Tamandua tetradactyla: one gene and its partner. The protein of the gene in region 1 purifies or fractionates together with the protein of each later gene. This does not show direct contact. Links are inferred from orthologs where the notes say so. Each region holds a gene or a part of one and is shown on either strand. Other genes may lie near its edges. The genes, in order: PFDN4 and PFDN5.

Region 1 (9,577 bases):
TGTTTTACAGATGGAGAAGCTATGGCATACTTCTTCACCCAAAGCTGCACAGCTACTAGGTAGTGGACCTGGATTCTGACCAAGGCAGACAGGTCTTTGAGTCCTGAAATTAAACTTAAATATGCATGTGTATGTGTGTATGTGCACATGTGTGCATTTGAAAGAGACGGGGAATTACCTTTCATAAGATTTTCAAAGGGGGTCCATACATTTAAAAAAAAAAAATTAAAATCAGACACTCCCTTGGTTTCTCCTCATGTATATTCTGCCCTAGACCAAAAGTTGTATAAAATAGGAACAAGAGCACTTGCTGATTAATTTAAGGGACAAAGGGCCTGCTTATATATAAGGAACATAAATGCCCAGTGAGGATCATTTTTTGGCTTTTTTGCCAATAACAGTAAGAGGTTCACAATAACCACACCCCACTCCTTCACTTGTGACACACATATGTGGACTTTTATTTCTTCAGAGACCGAAAGACACTGTCTCAGGAAATGTAGAGCTCAGTGGTCAGAATAAAAGGCAGACACCTACAATTTAGCCCTCCGTGGCACTAGGCTCTCATCATCCCAATACTCTCTTATCACCAGGCCCATCATCAGAGACGCAGAAGGAAAAGGAAAAAATCTTTTATATTATGATATATATGGCTTTGAGTATTCAATCCCTTATATAATTTTTATAAACATGGAAACTGGGAAACTGAGTTATACTAAAGTCAATATTCAGATATCTTGGCCTTTAAATCTTGCCTATATAAGAACTATCAAATTTCTAAGCAAAGAGGAGAGAATTTTAAAGAATTCCTGCTTGCCTACCGAGTTTATGCCATTTTTTAACAATAGAGAGCCGCTGAAAACCTCAATATTTATTTATAGATGCTTTGTCAACAGTGAAGATTTGAGGGTAATTTGTGTGAAAGCACCTAGCACAGAGCCTGCCTAACACACAACAGAAGCTTAATACAGTTTCTAAGTTTGAATCTAAATCATGCCTGATCAGGCTCCCATACACACTGTTTTTGAAAATGTAGAGACGAATTTGGCCATCTGACTTTCATCTTTTCAAAACAGGCATTTCCTGTTGGTGGGGCCCTAACAGCAGCCACCAGCATGCCTTGGCTGCTGGCGTCCAGATCCCTCACAGTTACTTTTCCTACTGGAGGTAGGGCTAACGTTATGTGAGGGTCAAACACGCATTGTTGGCAACTATCGGTACCTTCCAGGACTAAGAGCTGTATCTTCTGCTTACATCTCACTGTCCTAGAACACTCCTATATTTCTTGAAGCTGCATTTTGGCAGGGAGGTCGTAACTCTTAACTGGGGTGCAGGGGTTGTCCGTGAATGTCAAGAAGTTCATTCATCCCCGGAAATTGTATGCAAAACATTTAACAGGTGCATGCCTCCCAGAAGACTCTTTATAGCTTTCATCAGATTCTTTGAGATCATCAACCCCAAAAGGTTCGAGACTCTTGCTAATTACTACTGCTCTTGAAGTCCTATGAACTCAAAGAGGAAGAAGTCATATTGTAGTATTGAAAGTAGGACAAAGTTGTGGGAAGAGCCAGAATGTATTCAAATCCAGGCCATTACACCTCAGGCAAATTACTCGACTCTTTGAAGCCACCTTAGGTTTGTCATCTGTAAAATGGGGAGGCCAAGTCCTATCTGGTAGGGCTGGCACAGGGCCTGGGGATGGAGTCTGTCAATAAATGAGAACTCAGCGATTTATTTCTAGAATATTGTTTGCCAAAGTCACTGCAAAGGAAGAACATACACAGATACAGACCCAGAAGGAAATTCTGCTAAGTCTAAGAGAAAATGTGACTGCTCACGGTGAAAATAAAATTCCCTGGGCACTCACTGCACCATTTTCATGGCAATAAATACCTTACGGAATGATAGGAGGAAGCTAAACTCTATTCAATTATGCCCCATACTGAATCAGGGTCACACAAAGAATCTTCATTGATGGCTGGGGTCCCTCATTGTCCTGAAAACCTAAGAGACAGAAATTCTGGGCCATTTCCGTCTGCTTTCATTTTAATTTTTAAAAAAGATATTCAGCAAATCTCTATAAAATTTTGCCTTATCCTGTATTATTCATCTTTCATGCATATAGTTATTCATTCAACAATTATTCAGCCAGACACTATGATCTAGAGGGAAGCTTCATCCTAGCAGGAAATGTGGGCAAAAAACAAGATGAACAAGATAATTTTAGATAATGATAAATGTGTTAGTGAAAATAAAATAGAGTTTAGGGGTAGAAAGTGCTGGGAGCTGGGGAGTAGAGGGGTGCTTCTTTAGACATGGAGGACAGAGATGGCCTCTCTGAGGAGGAGACATTTGCACTCTGGAAAATGAAGAGAATTCAGAGTGTAAAATCCCTCATGGTCCAGAGCAAAATCTTGAAAAGGAGAACTTTAGAGATGAGAGGACTGAAGGATCTCATCTAGAGATTCAAAATTCATGACCAGTTGTAAGGTATAATGTATTACTAAAGGATTCCAGATTGCACACAACTTACTTATTAAAACCAAAAGGCTATTGCTTTTAATTTTAATAAGTAAACTGCTGGGTGGTGCAATTCTTGCCTGCCATGCTAGAGACCAGGTTCAATTCCCAGAGACTGCCCATGCCCTCCTCCCCGCCCCCCCCCCCCCAAAATCTATTGCTACTGTATGTTGAATGAAATGTCAGGAACAAAAAGACACATGCCTCAATTATATGGACTAACGATAATATAAAAATTCAGTGAACTAAAGTCAAGAGCATGGGTTATCAGGTTGGGGGTTATTGTAAAAGAGTCCTAGATCATAACAGTCACATGTATTCAGGAGGTGTAACTTTTAATTCTAAATTCAGAGATACTGAATCACAAGCATTGGGGACAACTAAATCAATAAGCTAAGCCCTCGATCTTGAGGTTCGCCCCTATGAAACTTATTCCTGAAAAGAACAGACTAAGCCTACTTAAAATGAGGCCTAAGAGTCACCCCCAGAGAACCTCTTTCATTGCTCAGATGTGGCCTCTCTTTCTAAGCCAACATGGCAAGTAACCCAATGCCCTACCCCCCTACATGGGACATGATTCCCAGAAGTGTAAATCTTTCTGGCAATATGAGAGAGAACTCCCGGGATGAGCTGAGACCTAGCATTAAAGGATTGAGAAAACCTTCTTGACCATAAGGGGGGAAAGAGAAATGAGAAAAAATAAATTGTCAGTGGCTGGAAGATTTCAGAGTCGAGAGGTTACTGTGGAGGTTATTCTTATGCGTTATATTGCTATCCTTTTTCAGATTATGGTGTATTGGAGTAGTTAAAGGGAAGTACCTGAAACTGTAGAGCTGTGTTCCAGTAGTCTTGTTTCTTGAAGATGATTGTATAATGATATAGCTTTTACAATGTTACAGTATGATTGTGAAAACCTTGTGTCTGATGCTCCCTTTATCGAGGGTATGGACAGATGGATAAAAAAATAAAAAACAAATAATAGGGGAAACAAAGGTTAAAATAAATTGGGTAGATGGAAATAATAGTGGTCAACAAGAGGAAGGTGTAAGGGGTATGGTATGTATGAGTTTTTTTCTTTTTTCTTTTTATTTCTTAATGTTCTAAAAAAAATGATCATGGTGATGATATTGTGAGCCACTGTCTGTACACCATGTATGGAATGTTTGTATGTTAAGAATGTTTGTTTTTATGTTGTTTTAACAATAAAAATATTAAAAACAAAAACAAAAAACAAGGCCAAGACTGCTGCTTAGTTTTTATGTAAACCCCCAGAACTTCACATGGTTTCTGGTGCAATAAAGGGCCTTAACAAATACCTGCAGTAACCACCCCCCCCCCCCCAAAAAAAAGGCTATTGCTAGGATATTTCACTCTCACTTACTGGCACACCTCTGTATATGAATATACACGTACAGTGGACAGAGGGGAAAAGTGTTTGTACATGTAGCTAACCCAGCAGGGATTATTCATAACACTGAAATACATGCAGGAAGATGTTGCATTTGTCATGTGAGTCTCAGAGACTCACTATATAGAAGAAAATCCCTTACGCATTAGCCACCACATATCCCTCTCTCTGTATGCTCCTTGCCCACCATGGTTCCCTTTGCCCACCCCTTCTCTGCCATTCTGGCCTTCCTTTTATGACATGTTCTTAGGGTCTTTGAATTAATGCCTTACCCCCTCACCAACCTTCCCTTCCCCTTCTCCCTAATCACATAGATCTCAGCCTAAGGATACCTCAGGAAAGCCTTCCCTGACCTCAATTCAGACCTTATACTGGCCCTCATTTCACAAGTGCCTTTCCTCACACTGGAAATTTTACATTTTACTGTGCGACTATTTGATTAATGCCCATATTTCCTCCTAGAGCATTTAGTTTTATGAAGCTATGAAGATATGGACTTCATTATTGCTCAACCATTGTTATCTCCATCACCTAAAACACAGACTATACCATATTAAAAGCTCAAAAAAATTTTATTGTCTACATCAAGGAAAGGAAAAAAGGTCAGTGGTCACTAATTTAATCCAATCCATAGTGGGGTGTGATGGAAAATTTCTGCAATTAAAGTTCAGAGTTCAAATTATTCTTCTATCATTTATTTCATCTCTCTGCACTGCCAATTTCCACAGCTATCTTCCAGGGAATTAAAGGCTACACCTAAAAATGGAAGGCCCAATTTAATAGTGGCAATGTGGAAAACCAAAGCCTCACACTTGTTTGACTCACCAAGAACCTAAGCACTACTCTGGTACACAGTAAGAGTTTGTGAATGCCAGAACCAGTAGGGAGAACAATTTGTCTCAGTTTGTTTAGGAAGTTCTCAATTTTAGCACTCCAAGTACTGTGTGGCGGGAAAGCCCTCCTTTCTGAGCAAACCAAGATAGCTGGTCATCCTACACCAGGCACAGGTAACTTCGACTTTATGATACAGAAGAGAGGAAAGCAAAAAAAGCAAGTTCCTCTTATGTGGTCTTAGAAGTGGAATGAGGGCAAATGTATATAAAACCTGGAAAGCAAATCCCCTCAGCCAGAGCATTCTCACGGCCTGGCAGTTTAAAAGGTGGGCTCTGGAGTAAGAATGCCAGTGTTTAAATACTAGCTGTGCCTCTGTACTTCAGTTTCCTCATCTGTAAAATGGGGATAAAAAACAGTATCCCCAAAAGGGTCATGAGATTTGATATTAAAATAAATAAACCATAACACACCTTGAACTGTTCCTAGCACAGAATAAAGCCTCCATTATCAGCTGGTATTATTTTCTCACTAAATTTTATTTTTCTTTTACCTAGAGATCTTTAAGCATCTGAGTACACTTACTCGATTACAAACCCCAAATGGGAGGGAGCTTGCTTACTAGCAAAAAGGATAGGCTTTGAGGGAAAACAAAACAAAACAAAACCATAAAACCTGTGTTTGAACCTGGCTCCCCTTCTTATTAAGGAAATCATTTTATAGAGGTTGGGGTCACTTAACCTTTCTGCATCTAAGTTTCTCCATTGTAAAGTTGGGGGAAACCCGTATCCTTGATAGATTGCTGGCACCAGAGATAATAATCGGAAGACTGGGCCCTGGTACCTCATCTGTTTCTCCATAAATACTGGTTTTAGTCCGGAGGGCACAGGTGCATTAAGCATGGACATGGGCCGCTCAAGGATGGACACACGAGCTCTGGGGCCAGAAAACCTGACAGTGTGTCCTGTTCTGCCCCTTATAAGCAGCGTGACCTTGGGCAGGTTACCCGACTCGCTGAACCTCAGCTTCAGCACCTGAGAGACAGAACACTAGAAGCACCTAGCCCATGGGCTTGTGAGGCTTAGCTGCGGTAATCCAGGTAAAGCGTTTACTACAGGGGTCAAAGGCAGACCATGGACCTTCGGCTTCCCAAAATCCAAGGGCAAGAACAGACCCGCGGCGTCCTCCGACTCTCCGGGGGCACCCTCTACACCGCGGGAGGCGGCCCAGAGCCCCCTAAGAGTCCCAGTCTGGACACCCACCCGAGGCAACCGGCGGGCCTGAGGAGACAGGCAGCGCGGGCAGGTCTCGCCGCGAGACCGCCTTCGTGGTCGGGAGCCTCAATTCCGAGCCCCTCCCCGCGCCTCAGAGCTGGGCACCCCTAGCATCCCGCCTATCAAGTCCCCACGCTCGCAACCCGCCCGCTGCCCGAGCATCCAGCGCCGGGAGCGCCCCACTCACCGCCTTCTTCATGGTGGCCGCCATCTTGGGACTCTGTTACGGCGTGAGGGGGGGAGGGCCGCGATGGTGCACTCCTCTTCCGTGCCCTCTCTCACTCCCTGTCAGCCCAGAACTCCTAAAAAGTACAACACGGTCACCGTATTCCTTCTCTGGGATCTTCAACCAAAGACTTCTCTGAAGTCTGAGATTCAGGAAGGAAATCGCAACCTGGATGGACTTGGTATATCCCAATTAAAGGGACAGTCTCCCTGTGGCTAGACATAAACAAGGGAGGTGTGGCGAGCGGCCGCAACTCCGGCATCGGCCGGCAGGGGACGCCCAGCCCCGCAAGTGTGATGGGCGGGGTTGGGAGCGCCGGGCAGGGCTTGGAGGAGAAAGGGGTATTCTTCATCTCCAACAAATTTGTTTAGAGAATTGACCCATTTGGAAAGGCACTAGAAACGAATGACTTTGTCAGTAGACTATGAGATTTATATGCACTGATAATTCAGATGTGTTCGGAGGAAGCCCTCCAATTAATTAATTAATTCGACAATGTTTTTCAACAATTTCTGCATACGGCCTTGACTTTGCTAGTTGCTTGTTCTATGCCTCTAGACCCCAACTCTATTTTTTGTTTGCTTCAGGATCCCTGAACCCAAATAACCTACGTTTATCGATATCTACCATATTAGAAATTAGAAATTAAACATTCTTTTTAAAAAATGGATTTGTTGATTCAGTTAAAATAACAAAAATATGCCACATTAATATTTTTAATGGAAAATAGCTGTCTTTTCCTAAGCAAAAAACATATTGAGAATGATATTGTTTTACATTTTTGCAAATCTCTTTAATGTCTGGCTTAATGGAAGGCAGACAGTAACATCTAACATCTGCTTCTGTGTTCAATCTCTTGCGATATGTTGTTTAGCTGAACTAGGTGAAGAAAACCTGGCCTCACACAGATATGTCGTTGGAAAAGGCAGGCTTCACGAATCTTCTGAAAAGATTTCAGGAATCCCTAGGAGTCCTCAGGCCACACTTTGAGAGCCAATGCCGTGGAGGTTTTCTCTTCTCTCGAAGCCCCAATTTCCTCTTTGGTTGGATGAGGGTAATGGACTTGTCACACCTTCTGCCTTCCCTGCAAAAGCATTTAGCCCCACACTAATTGTTCATCCTCCTGCCAGGTTCCCGGCTCCAGACTCCAAGCCCTTTGCAGTTAGGTCTTCCCAATGCCCAGTTTAACATATACTTGCTGAATGAGGGGATTTGTTTTTCAGGTTAAATCCTTGCACAGCAGCTGGTACATAGATGTTCCACCAATGACATCCATTTATTTAATAGCTCACATATAGTACCTAACACCTAAAAGCACTACAGAAATGGACAATGAAAAAGTGCAAATTTATTACAAATGGTGGCAAGTTCACGACGGAGACAAATGAGGGCCTGAGACAGAGAAGAACAGAAGGGAATGGTCGGGGCTGGGCACTCTGGAGGTGGCCATTACACTCTGAAAGATGGCGGCAGCCAGCCATAGGAAGAACAGGGAAAGGGGATTTCAGGCAGATGGGGCATCGTGAGCACAAGTCGTGGGATGGGAAGGAACTTGGCTAGAATGTAGGAGCAAAGGGCAGAGTGGCACAGAGTGAGTGGAAGGCAAGGTCCAGACTCAGAGATGGGGATTCTTTAGACCATGGAGAGGACAAAGTGGGGAGTGGGGAGGAGAGAGTTCTTTCTGAGATTTCCAAATGACTTGTATTAAGAAATGACAGGTCTGAAAGGCGAGGACCTATAGAGTATGAATTCAAGGAAGTGTAATTTGATTGTTTGAGTTGAAAGGAACAAGGTGGGAGGCTCAGGGAGAGAAGCCTAGAATCACAGATTTTATGACCAGAAGGTATCTCAAGCCTTCATCTGGGCTAAACATTATCTTATGATGATGATGATGATGATAAAGTAATATATAAAACTAATGAACACGTGTTATGAGGCAGGTACCGTGCTAAGTGTTTTCGTCCTCACCATACTGAGGTAAATACCCCTGTTGGTGACCATTTTCCAAGTCAGGAGATGGAAAACCACCAGGAAATAACAGAGGCTGTGTTTAAACCCTGGCTAGCCTGATGGCAGAGGCCATACTCCTGAGCACTAGGCTCTACCACTCCAGTACACATCCTGTGGAGAGCCAGACTCAGGGTGGACTAAGAACTCTTGCCCCTGACTTGGGGCAGGAGCAGGCATTGTGCCGAAGACCCACCAGGAAGCACTCGAGAGCCAGCCTGCCTAGTGCTGGAGATCAAACCACGCCTGCCCCACACCCACCCCAGTGTCCAATGCTGGGCAAGTTACTTTCATGGGGGGAAATAATAGTAACTCCCTACTGCTCATTTGCCAGCAAAATTCCTCTGCCCAAGTTATGACCTCTCAAAACACTTTTTGAGGGTGCCTCTCTCCCCACCCACGAGGCTCACAGCAGCTAGGAAACCCCAGGGTGGGAGGGAGCAGGTGAGAGGCCTAGGTCAGAAGCCCAGGCAGAGGGAGGAGTATGGTGAGGTCCCACCCACCTGAAGCTGACCTTGTCAATGCAGAGCTGGCCACTGTAGGGGCTGCTGGGATGTAACACGAGGCCAAAAGCAGGTGTGACCAAGGACAGGTAAAACCAAGAATATTGAAAGTGACACACAAGAGTCTTCTGATAGAAGAGGACTTCTGATAGAAGAAGCTGCTTCTGGAAAAGCAGTTTGTTCTGGAAAAGCAGCTTCTGGCATCTGAAGGATGACTGAAGTGTAATCGGAATAGATTATTCCCAGGTGTTTAAAATGAGCGGCCCAGCTGCTGTTAGACTTGCCCTGGGAAGCCTCCAGTGTCCACGTCCCCTGTTTCTGATTCATCAAGGGAAGAGGTTGATTCAGAGGAAACCTTTGGCTCCAAGTACAGAAGACCTACCTGAGCGTGATTTACACAATAAGGGCCACTGTTTCTCATATAACAAGGAATATGGAAAGAGGCAATGGCTGGATTGGATCAGCAGCTCAAAAAGACTTTGCATCGAGAAGGAATATTCTAAGTCTTTGGCCTTCCCTTCATCATCACAAGATGGTTGTTGATTCTACAAGCATCATGTCCTCACCAGGGGTATGCAAAGGCAGAGAGGAAAGGGGAGAGACTTACCTCACTGCTATGCTCTGGGGTATACTCCTCTCATTCTCTCCAGCTCTACATAGCAATCCCGGGTTCTTTTATTCGTTCCTTCTTTCTCTCTCCTTCAAGGAGGAAAATATTTCCCAGATTGCCCCTTGCTGTTATGCCTGTCTTACTGGTCAGAACTGTATCACATGCCCACGTCTAGATCAATTCCTAGCAAAAGCAGTC
Region 2 (9,577 bases), on another chromosome or scaffold:
TGTGCCTGGGCCACCAGGATCCCTATGCCACTGCCTTCCTCATCACTGAGTCTGTCGCCATCACCTGTCGCCATCAGCTGCTCACCCACCTGCACAGGCAGCTCACGTGAGTGCTCCCCAGTATTCATGCTGAGGACAGGCTGGAGGGAGGGTCCAGACTTCAAAGGAAGGAGAAACTCACGTCTACCTGTACTGCCTGTAGTAGAGCCCAGAAGCACCGAAGATCACTTGAAATGGCAGACCAGTTGCAGAGGCTGAGCCTTCAGGAGAGGCCTGGAGATGTCCCTCTGGCCCGTATCCAGCACCTCTTTTCCTTCAGGGCTTTGGGATCTGGCCCATTCCCCCAGCCTGAGAAGGAGAGTTTCCAGGAGCGCCTGTCTCTGATTCCCAGTGGTATGGTGGCAGGCTTCTGGTTGGCTCATCTGTCTTCTTATACATCTCCTTATTGAGAAGTTAAATGAAGGAGTTTAAGGCATTAGTTACTTTACATGATCCTTATGGAAAGGCATGCCAGATCTTTTTTTTTTAATTTTTATTGTGGTAACATATGCCACATAATGTTACCCATTTTAACCACTTTCAGGTATACAACTCAGAATTCAGTGGTGTTAGTTCTATTTACAATGTTTTGCTACCATCACCACCATCCATTACTAAAACTTCTCCCTCACCCCAGACCTCAGCACCATACCCATTAAGCATTTAACCCCATGGTAATCCTTTTTCATTTAACCTCCACTTTGAGTTTCTGGCAAATTCAAGTGTCTTTCTTCAGAAGTGAATTCTGGTGTCTGGGGTCTTCCTGCTCTAAAAGTGAAATGTATTACAGATTATTTGAGTATCTCACTGTGCATGGCCCTTTTTGTTAGCAGCCGTGAGAGACTCTAAGAAGTACAAGACATGGTCCCTGGTCACAGTGAGCAGTTAGGGCAAGGGAGAGAGTACCTGAACCCAAATAACCAGGGATGGCTTCTTGAAGATTTATTTTGAGTTGTCTTGAGTGATGGATTGGGATTAAATGCAGAAAATAGGAAAGGGAATGCCTAGTAACAGCTGAAATGTTTCTGAGTATGTTCTCCGTGTCAGGGGTGATTGTCTGTGTGCTGGCCTTGGCCACCCTCCAGCCTGGAACTGTGGGGAACACCCTCCTGCTGACCCGGCTGGAAAAAGATAATTCTCCAGTCACTGTGCAGATCCCCACTGCCCAAAACAAGGTAGGTTTCCAGGACCAGGGTGCAAAGTAGGGCTGTGGGGGGCTTCTGGTTAAGCTGCTCACATTCTGTGGCTGGGGGATGGAGAGATGGCATTTATGTGACCAGCAGAGATCTTACAACCCCATGTCCCAAAGCTTCCTTTGAGTTCAGCCCTGAATGAGTTTGATGCCATCCAGAAGGCACAGAAAGAGAACAGCAGCTGTACTGACAAGCGAGAATGGTGGACAGGGCGGCTGGAACTGGACCACAGGATGGAGGTTTGTGTTCCTAGGACAAGCTGAGGTCACACCTGCCCTAGGAATGACCCAGGGGATGCTAATGTCTTCTCTGCCAGGGGTCCCAAGTCAGTGCTGAGCTACTGTGAGTCCTTTCTGAAAGTATAAAGCATGAATTTAAAAATTGCATGACTTTAATCAAGAGGCCAGAACTTGAAGAACTTATGGCAATGGAATGTTTAAAGACACACAGAAGATGAAGGCTGTAAGCCTAAGTATCAGCTGCCTGGCAGCAGCTCTCCTGGCTCACGTGTTCACAAATTTGTCAAAAAAAAAAAAAGATTGTCTATAATAAACAGTCTTATCTGTAGCCTCCCACAGGCCCACCAAATGAAAAATGTTTCTAGCTTCTTGCCTTTTCAACTGGCAGAAAGAAGTATAGAACAAATATCCATGGTGGAAAACCTATTTCCTCATTTCCAGAAAGAAACTTGTCTTCCTTCCTCTCTCTTCTCCTGTACTCAGGTTCTCATCACTTCCCTAGAGAAGGATGTGTTGGGCTGCTGGAGAGGGCTGTTGCTGCCATCCAGTGAGGACCCTGGCCCTGCCTGTGAGGCCTCCTGCTTACAGGGGTTGCTGCAGGAATGTGGCTGGAAATATCCTGACCCTACCCTGCTAAAAGTGAGTTAGAAAAGCAGGGAAGGGGTAGAAGCAGTAAACTTCATTCTTCTCCACAAGCCCAATAGCCATTTTGACTGGGGCTAGGGTTTACGGCACCCATGAACCTGTGTTCCCCTGCAGGTCATGCTCAGTGGTGCCAGTACCCTCAGCCCTCAGGAAATTCAGGCCCTGGCCTATGGGCTGTGCCCAGCCCACCCCAAGCGAGCCCAAGAACTTCTGATTGAAGCGATAGGACGTCTTCAAGGTCAGACAGTGCCAAACAAGAAGCACCTTGTCTTGGTGCTGGACAAGGTAAGGAGCTAGGAGGGTCAGAGGGCTGTGCCTGATGGGCAGTGGGCACCAACCTACTCCCACACTTATTTTTCCTCCTGTCCATACCTGGTTAAGGACAGTAACATCTGATTGCCTTTTGTGTAGGACCTGCAGAAGCTGCCATGGGAAAGCATGCCCACCCTCCGGGCACTGCCTGTCACCCGGCTGCCCTCCTTGCGCTTTCTGCTCAGCTACTCTGTTATCAAAGAGGTGGGGCTTGGGGGCCTTCCTTCAACTCGAGAGAGCTGAAGGAAGAGAGAGGCAGAGACCTGGAGAGATGGGAGAGGGTCTTAGGAGTGGGTTGGATGTGGAGAGGGGCTGTTGGAGCTTGGGCCTCCTGGTCAGACCAGGGTCCTGATCAACATTATCTACTCTTCAGTCTGGGGCCTCATCCGTGCTCAGCCAAGGGGTGGATCCACGCAACACGTTCTACGTCCTGAACCCTCACAATAACCTGTCAAGCACAGAACAGCAATTTCGAGCCAATTTTAGCAGGTCAGGGAAGGGGCAGGGGTGAGGGCAAGAAGACGGGTGGGGAAGGGTAGAAACAACTTGTAGGGGCAACATGTCCTTGTCTCCACCTTCTACCTAATGTTCCCTCTCCCCTCTTTGCCACATGACCCCTGCCATGCAGTTCCCTATTCTCACTCCTACCTTCTCCCCACAGTGAAGCCGGCTGGAGAGGGGTGGTGGGGGAGGTCCCAAGCCCGGAACAGGTGCAGGCGGCCCTGACTGAGCATGACTTATACATGTGAGTGCTTACACCAGGGAGCGGGGAAAGGGGTAGTCTCAGAGGATGGAACATCATGGTCTGCTTTGGAGCTTTAAAGCCTCTGGCTGACTCAGGATATTTCTGGAGACATGGACAGAGACCTGCTACTGCTAGTTTGAGGCTGACCTCACCTGTTTCTGCCCTAGCTATGCAGGCCATGGGGCTGGTGCCCGCTTCCTAGATGGACAGGCTGTCCTGCGGCTGAGCTGCCGGGCAGTGGCCCTGCTGTTTGGCTGCAGCAGTGCAGCCCTGGCTGTGCATGGAAACCTGGAGGGAGCTGGCATCGTACTCAAGTACATCATGGCCGGCTGGTGAGTCTTGGGTCAGGTGCATCCTAAAGCATTAAAGCTCCTGCTCCTAACCCCAAGTTCTTTCCGAAATCTGAACTCTGAATCTCTCTTGTGACTCACTTTCCTCCCATCCTAGTTTCCTGGCATGCCTGGTTGAGCCCTTTAATGCTTTGCCTCTTCTAACCTCCTCTTGGCACTGTGGGACGAGGGAGTCCCTCCTTGGCTGGATCCTCTCCTCCTCCCACCTCCCAGCAATGTTTACTGTGTATTTGTTTGAGATCCCTTATTATTTTGTATTTCTTCCTTCTCTCTTCCCAGTCCTTTGTTTCTGGGTAACCTCTGGGATGTGACTGACCGTGACATTGACCGCTATACAGAGGCTCTGCTGCAAGGCTGGCTTGGAGCAGGCCCAGGGGCCCCCCTCCTCTACTATGTCAACCAGGCCCGCCAGGCTCCCCGTCTTAAGTATCTTATTGGAGCTGCTCCCGTGGCCTATGGCTTACCTGTCTCCCTGCGGTGACCCCTTGGAGCTATTGTATATCTGGTAGAAGCCAAGTGACTCTGTTACCCCCCAACTTAGATTTTATCCTTAGAATAAATATTTTTAAGTGATTTCAGTGTTTTATATGAAATATTTCCTTTTAACTTAACCTTAATAAAGATATGTCACCTAAATACTGTTTGTGTAGCTCATTTGATAACATTTGTGGACTTCCTGCTTCCTCCCCACTAATCCCCCCCGGCCCCCACCATATGGTACTGTAAGTGCATGGGAACAGCTTTCAGGAGTTCAAATCTGAGAGCACTGGGGATAAAAGGCAAAACCACAGGACAGAGCTGGGCCTGGCTGGGTCTCAGCAGACAAAGCTGAAGGAGAGAGGGGTAATAAAATGCTCTTAGTGGGAACAGAGGCCCAGGGAAAAGTAGGGACCCATTGTGAGCAACTTGGCCAAGTGCCATCACGTCTGTCTTGTCTTTCTCCTCAGGTATCCTGGGTGTGACACTAGCTTGGTGCCTCTGTTATCTTGCCCCCCTTCCAAGTAGATGTCAGTGGCTGCTGTTCCTCTTTCACGTACAGCTGCTACACACTTGTCAGTGCCATGGACTTAAGCAGCAAATTCTGTGGGATTCTGCTCCCTGTGTATTTTATTTATTTATTTATTCATTTGTCTTCTCAACTAGATTGTAAGCTCCTGTGAAGTACAAATTATATCTTACGCTAGTGTATTCCTCACATCTAGTATATGGTAAATACATTTTGTGCTGAACTTGTTAGTTGTAATGGTACCTTCTTACTGTTCTCTCCACCTCTGGACACTCTTCATCTTCATTTGACCAAAGGACCGTTTTCACAGTGCTATGCCCCCTCCCACAGAACTTCACAGGCTTCCTCCTGGCCTCTCAGTTGCCACTCACGTGGATTTTTACCACTCACATGGAGCAGCTTACGCTGCTTGTGGTAATGTCCCGGGTACTTGTCTTATCTTTAAGATTTTTAAGTTCCTTGAGGACAGACGGCAGAAATCTTGCTTGCTACAACTTTACTGTGCTATGCTTGGGATGCTTTGTGAAAGGGATGCGCTCTTACCTTCTCGAATCAAAGGCGAATCTCGGGAATTTCCAGCCCCTCCTTCCTGGGACGGAGGAACATAGAGATATCCGGCGCAGCGAGGCCTCCTGGCGCTACCATCGAGATGCGCAGAGGATGGCTAGAGCGTAAAGCGCCGAGCCGACTTCCCTTTCATTAGCCCTCCTTCTCAATATGGCGCAGTCAGTTAACATCACGGAGTTGAGCCTGCCGCAGCTAGAAATGCTCAAGAATCAGCTGGACCAGGTGGCGACGGACCCCTGAAACACCCTTTTCCCGCCTCACAGCTCCCCTGCCCAGGCGGACTCCTCGCCGCCATTCCTCCCCTGTTTGGGAAACCTCCCTTCCAAGGCGAAACCGCCACCGCATCCCCGGTCCTGTCCCCTCTTCGGCCAGACTCCCCTGACGCTCCAACCCGTTGACCATCTTTCCTGTTCTCTGCAGGAAGTGGAGTTCCTGTCCACGTCCATTGCCCAGCTCAAGGTGGTACAGACCAAGTATGTGGAAGCCAAGGACTGTCTGAACGTGCTGAACAAGAGCAACGAGGGTATGAAGTAGGCGTGCGAGGGCCACACGCAACATAGGGAGTGTGGTTAGCCAGTTTCCCCTCTCTTCCCGCCGCTTCATCCAGTTTTCCTTACCCGAGGCGCGAAAACAATCCATTGCGTATTGTAAGAGCCCTTTGCATGTTCCATACCTAGAGTTGAAATGTACAGAACTTTCCTCTGTTTCTGTTGCCCCTGTTTCGTCCTTTTCATACTGGGTGCTGTACTATGTTGGAGTTCCCTGTAACGTTTTAATGTTGGCGCTGCCAACCTTCCCCAGGTGTTTGTCTTAATTCCTTTCACAGGGAAAGAATTACTTGTCCCATTGACCAGTTCTGTATCCTTTCCACAGGAACTGCTGCCCTGACCTCTCCCATTCACCCCTTCCCCCTCCACAAAGAGGAGGTAATTTTGATTACTTCCGAGTCCCTTTCATTCATGATTCTGAAAACTTCCAGCTCTCTTTTTTAATCTGGGGCTGCCTACCATCCAGCTACTGCCTTGTAAATTACCAAGGGGTGTGTAAAGTTGAGCTGCATTATTTTCCTTTGCTGTTTGAGGATATTAATCTAATATAGGGACAAAACTGGTAGTTTACACTTTTGCTAATAATCTGGATAGACGACATAGCAGTAGAAGAATAGGGTATAGAAACAGTGGTTGGCTCTGTTCCTTTTTCTTTTTCTTTTTTTTTTTTTCCGCATGGAGAGGCACCAGGAATTGAACCCAGGTCTCCAACATGGCAGGCAAGAATTCTGCCACTATTGGCTTTGTTTCTTAATCTTCAATTTCAGCTTAATTGTGGCTTTTTTTCCTAAATTGCCATCTCTGAGAAGCCTGGATTGTGTCCACCTATTAAGTGTTTTTGTTGTATGAACAATTTATGGCAATAGGTAGTCTGAGAACTGACAGGCTAAAAGAGAAACAAAGGAATAGCAGTACAGTAGGGAAAGGTTAAATAATCATTAAATTCATTAGGAACTAGGTAGTACAGGGTTGGAGGTATTAAGGGGAAGTGAGTCTGGGTTTTCACCTTTACTACTCTAGAAAAGTAGGAAAACATCATTGTATCTAATCTTTCTGGAAGAGCTAATGGGAAGAATTTGAGAATTGCTTGTAGGGTGGGAGATGGGGTCAGGGCAAGAGAGTGTGCTAGCATGTGACATTCTCTCCACAAGGAACCACTTTTTCTCTGCCTCTCCCCATTGGAGTTTTTAAGTATAGTTCTAAGGGCTTCTGATTATTCAGAAAAGGTTATATTCAGTCCCTTTGCCTTGAAGCTTTCTAGAGAAGGTGTGCCTTCAAAGGCCAAGCAGACTGACTTACTGGAATTGTGGTTCATACTGGGATAGTTTTTCCCTTAATCCTTGCTTCTCAGATGTACGTCCCTGGTAAGCTACATGATGTGGAACATGTGCTCATCGATGTGGGAACTGGCTACTATGTAGAGAAGGTGAGTTTCTAGAAGCAAATGGGTGCCCTTGTGAGCAAGAAAAGGGAGCTTAGGAGAAGATCTAAGCTGTGATATATGGTGTCTCCTCTTACCTCTCATTTACCTCTGACCTGTGCAGACAGCTGAGGATGCAAAAGACTTCTTCAAGAGGAAGATAGACTTCCTCACCAAGCAGATGGAGAAAATCCAGCCAGCTCTGCAGGAGAAGCATGCTATGAAGCAAGGTAAGCTTGACGTAGGCCATGTTTTGTCCCTTTCTACCTCCATGATTAAGAACATGGATTGCAGTGTGAACCCATAGGGTTTAATCTTGACTGGGTTAAAGCCATATCTTTATTTCTCTTCCTTTGGTGTTTTGGTGTGTTATTCTCTAGCTTTTGTGTACTATCTGTAGATTTCTGGGTTGGGTGCCTAGGATGGAAATCATGTCCGCTCTTACAGAGGTCTTATTTAATGGAGATGGAGTAGGGGATAAGATAATGTAAATGAGTATACAGGAAAGAAACATAGCACTAAGTAAGTACTAGTGATTGCTACCTTAGCTGCATGTTAGAATCACCTGGGCCTGCTCCACACCAACTAAATCAATCTCTGGGACCTTGTTCCTTAGGCATCAGTGTTTTTTAAAAGCACCCCAGTTACACAACCAGGATTGAGAACCCCTGTTCTAAACGCAAAAATCTTTTCCACGTTATATCTTGCAGTTAAGTTTGGCTCATTTAATACCATAATTTGTTCATTTTAGCACATTGACACATTGTAGGCTATAAGTTTGTACCTAGTGTGTCTGTCCCCCTATCACTGGTTAAAAATTGTATTAACAAACTGTAGCTGGTTGTCTCCCTTTGCTTTTCTTAACTCTAGGTCCTCTCCTTCCTTTAGCACTGGCCAGTGTCTGAATCTTCCTTTTTCTTCCCCAGCTGTCATGGAGATGATGAGCCAAAAGATTCAGCAGCTCACAGCCCTGGGAGCAACACAGGCTACTGCCAAGGCCTGAGCTTGTTGCAGAAATGGGGTTAGAGGGCACCCTGCTTCAGGGGCCTGGACTTCGTAGGAGTGGCTTTTTGGTGTGGGGAAGATAAGGGCCTTGTGTTTAATGCTAATAAATGTCATTTGGGCACAGTGTTGGTCTTTTCTTGCATTAATCAGGTACTGTGTTGGGGTTGGAGGTGTCCGGGAGAGTGGGCTCCTGCCCAGTGCGTGATAAGCTGTGAAGCGGTTCCCACTTTGGAGGCCCCACACGGGATCCCTAGGAGGAACTGAGAAATCTTGCCCTGCTTAGCAATGTAGTCCTGTGAGGGCTCTGTTGCCATGGGGACGGCCGGCAAGCGGAAGTGGGGCCAAGCGGGCTCTTCCCTTTCCGGGTTGAAGTTCCGCCTCCCCGCCGCGGGAGCCATATGGGTCATAGCTTCCTGTGCCATCTCCGCCAGTCACTTTCGTGGCTGTCCCCTTTCCAGGCTCGACTCTGCATAAGGAGCCTGGCGTCTGTCCCGGCCCCCAAACGACCCCGCGGCGACCTCATGGCACCGCCCCGAATCGGGACGCATAACGGCACCTTCCATTGCGACGAGGCACTAGCGTGCGCGCTGCTTCGCCTCCTTCCCGAGTACCGGGTATGGTCCGTGAAAATTAGCCCTGCACCTACCCGCGTGCTTCCGGGATGGACTGCGTTCTCTTTAACTCTACGTGTTCCAGCCCGTTCTAACTGGATCCCTCTGGTAGCACCCCTCCCACCCGCTCTGGCTCCCCTGTAATATATTAATTCCCTGCCTGCTCACCTCCCATGTATTCCGTAGGATGCAGAGATCGTGCGGACTCGGGACGCCAAGATATTGGCTTCGTGTGACATCGTGGTGGACGTCGGCGGTGAGTACGACCCTCAGAGACACCGATATGACCATCATCAGAGGTGAGTTCCCAGATCTCATTTCCTTTACCTCTTTACTTCACCCTTCCTCTGTCCTTATCGTCTACCTTGGTCCGTATCAGTGAAGGGAATTGGCCTTCGTTGAACTCAAACTCCTGAGTCCCGCAGGGAGTACATCCTCCCATCCTTCCAATTTCTGTCTGCCATTCACCCACCTTTTTGCCCTTAGACCTTTCTCACCCCTGACCTCTACCCATGCTTCCCTTGGCCCCCAGTCAATCCTGACTCACCTTCTTCAGCTCAGACTCTTTTCCTGCCAGCACCGTTATCACCCTAACTAATGCCCTTTCTGGGATTAATCCATTCATCTGCTCTTGCTGCCACACATGGGGCTGCTGGGCCCACATGATTGTAGTGATCGTTGGCAGTTTAAATAGGCATAATCTACCTCATTCAGACTCTTCCACTGAGAAATTTTTCTTGTCCAAGTGTGTTCATAGTACCATTCCAGTCCCCCTTCCTTCTCTTCAAGCTCTCTACCTCATTAAACCCCCTCAGTGATTGTCCCTGACTTCTACTCCTCAAAGAAAAGTGAACTTTTCCTGCATGAACTTCCTCAGTTTCCCACCCCTGAATACCC

The links.
Region 2: the proteins of PFDN4 (region 1) and PFDN5 purify together in Homo sapiens (affinity purification with mass spectrometry; 5 studies listed by BioGRID and IntAct, counting the BioPlex papers as one, with this or other methods). This does not show direct contact. The link is inferred for Tamandua tetradactyla from reciprocal best matches to the Homo sapiens genes PFDN4 and PFDN5.

What each region holds. Positions count from the first base shown.
Region 1 is NC_135327.1:31,400,160-31,409,736, forward strand, and holds the start of PFDN4 (prefoldin subunit 4), read right to left. Parts: upstream 6,487-9,577; 5' UTR 6,245-6,486; coding exon 6,221-6,244; intron 1-6,220. UniProt on the Homo sapiens protein: Binds specifically to cytosolic chaperonin (c-CPN) and transfers target proteins to it. Binds to nascent polypeptide chain and promotes folding in an environment in which there are many competing pathways for nonnative proteins.
Region 2 is NC_135333.1:114,655,166-114,664,742, forward strand, and holds PFDN5 (prefoldin subunit 5), read left to right. Parts: upstream 1-5,186; 5' UTR 5,187-5,246; coding exon 5,247-5,318; intron 5,319-5,516; coding exon 5,517-5,619; intron 5,620-5,922; coding exon 5,923-5,954; intron 5,955-6,995; coding exon 6,996-7,070; intron 7,071-7,188; coding exon 7,189-7,294; intron 7,295-7,990; coding exon 7,991-8,067; 3' UTR 8,068-8,193; downstream 8,194-9,577. Other genes in the region: ESPL1 (separin), read left to right, coding at 1-106, 203-393, 1,087-1,214, 1,349-1,471, 1,955-2,110, 2,231-2,401, 2,528-2,632, 2,802-2,917 and 3 more; MYG1 exonuclease, read left to right, coding at 8,468-8,683, 8,867-8,979. UniProt on the Homo sapiens protein: Binds specifically to cytosolic chaperonin (c-CPN) and transfers target proteins to it. Binds to nascent polypeptide chain and promotes folding in an environment in which there are many competing pathways for nonnative proteins.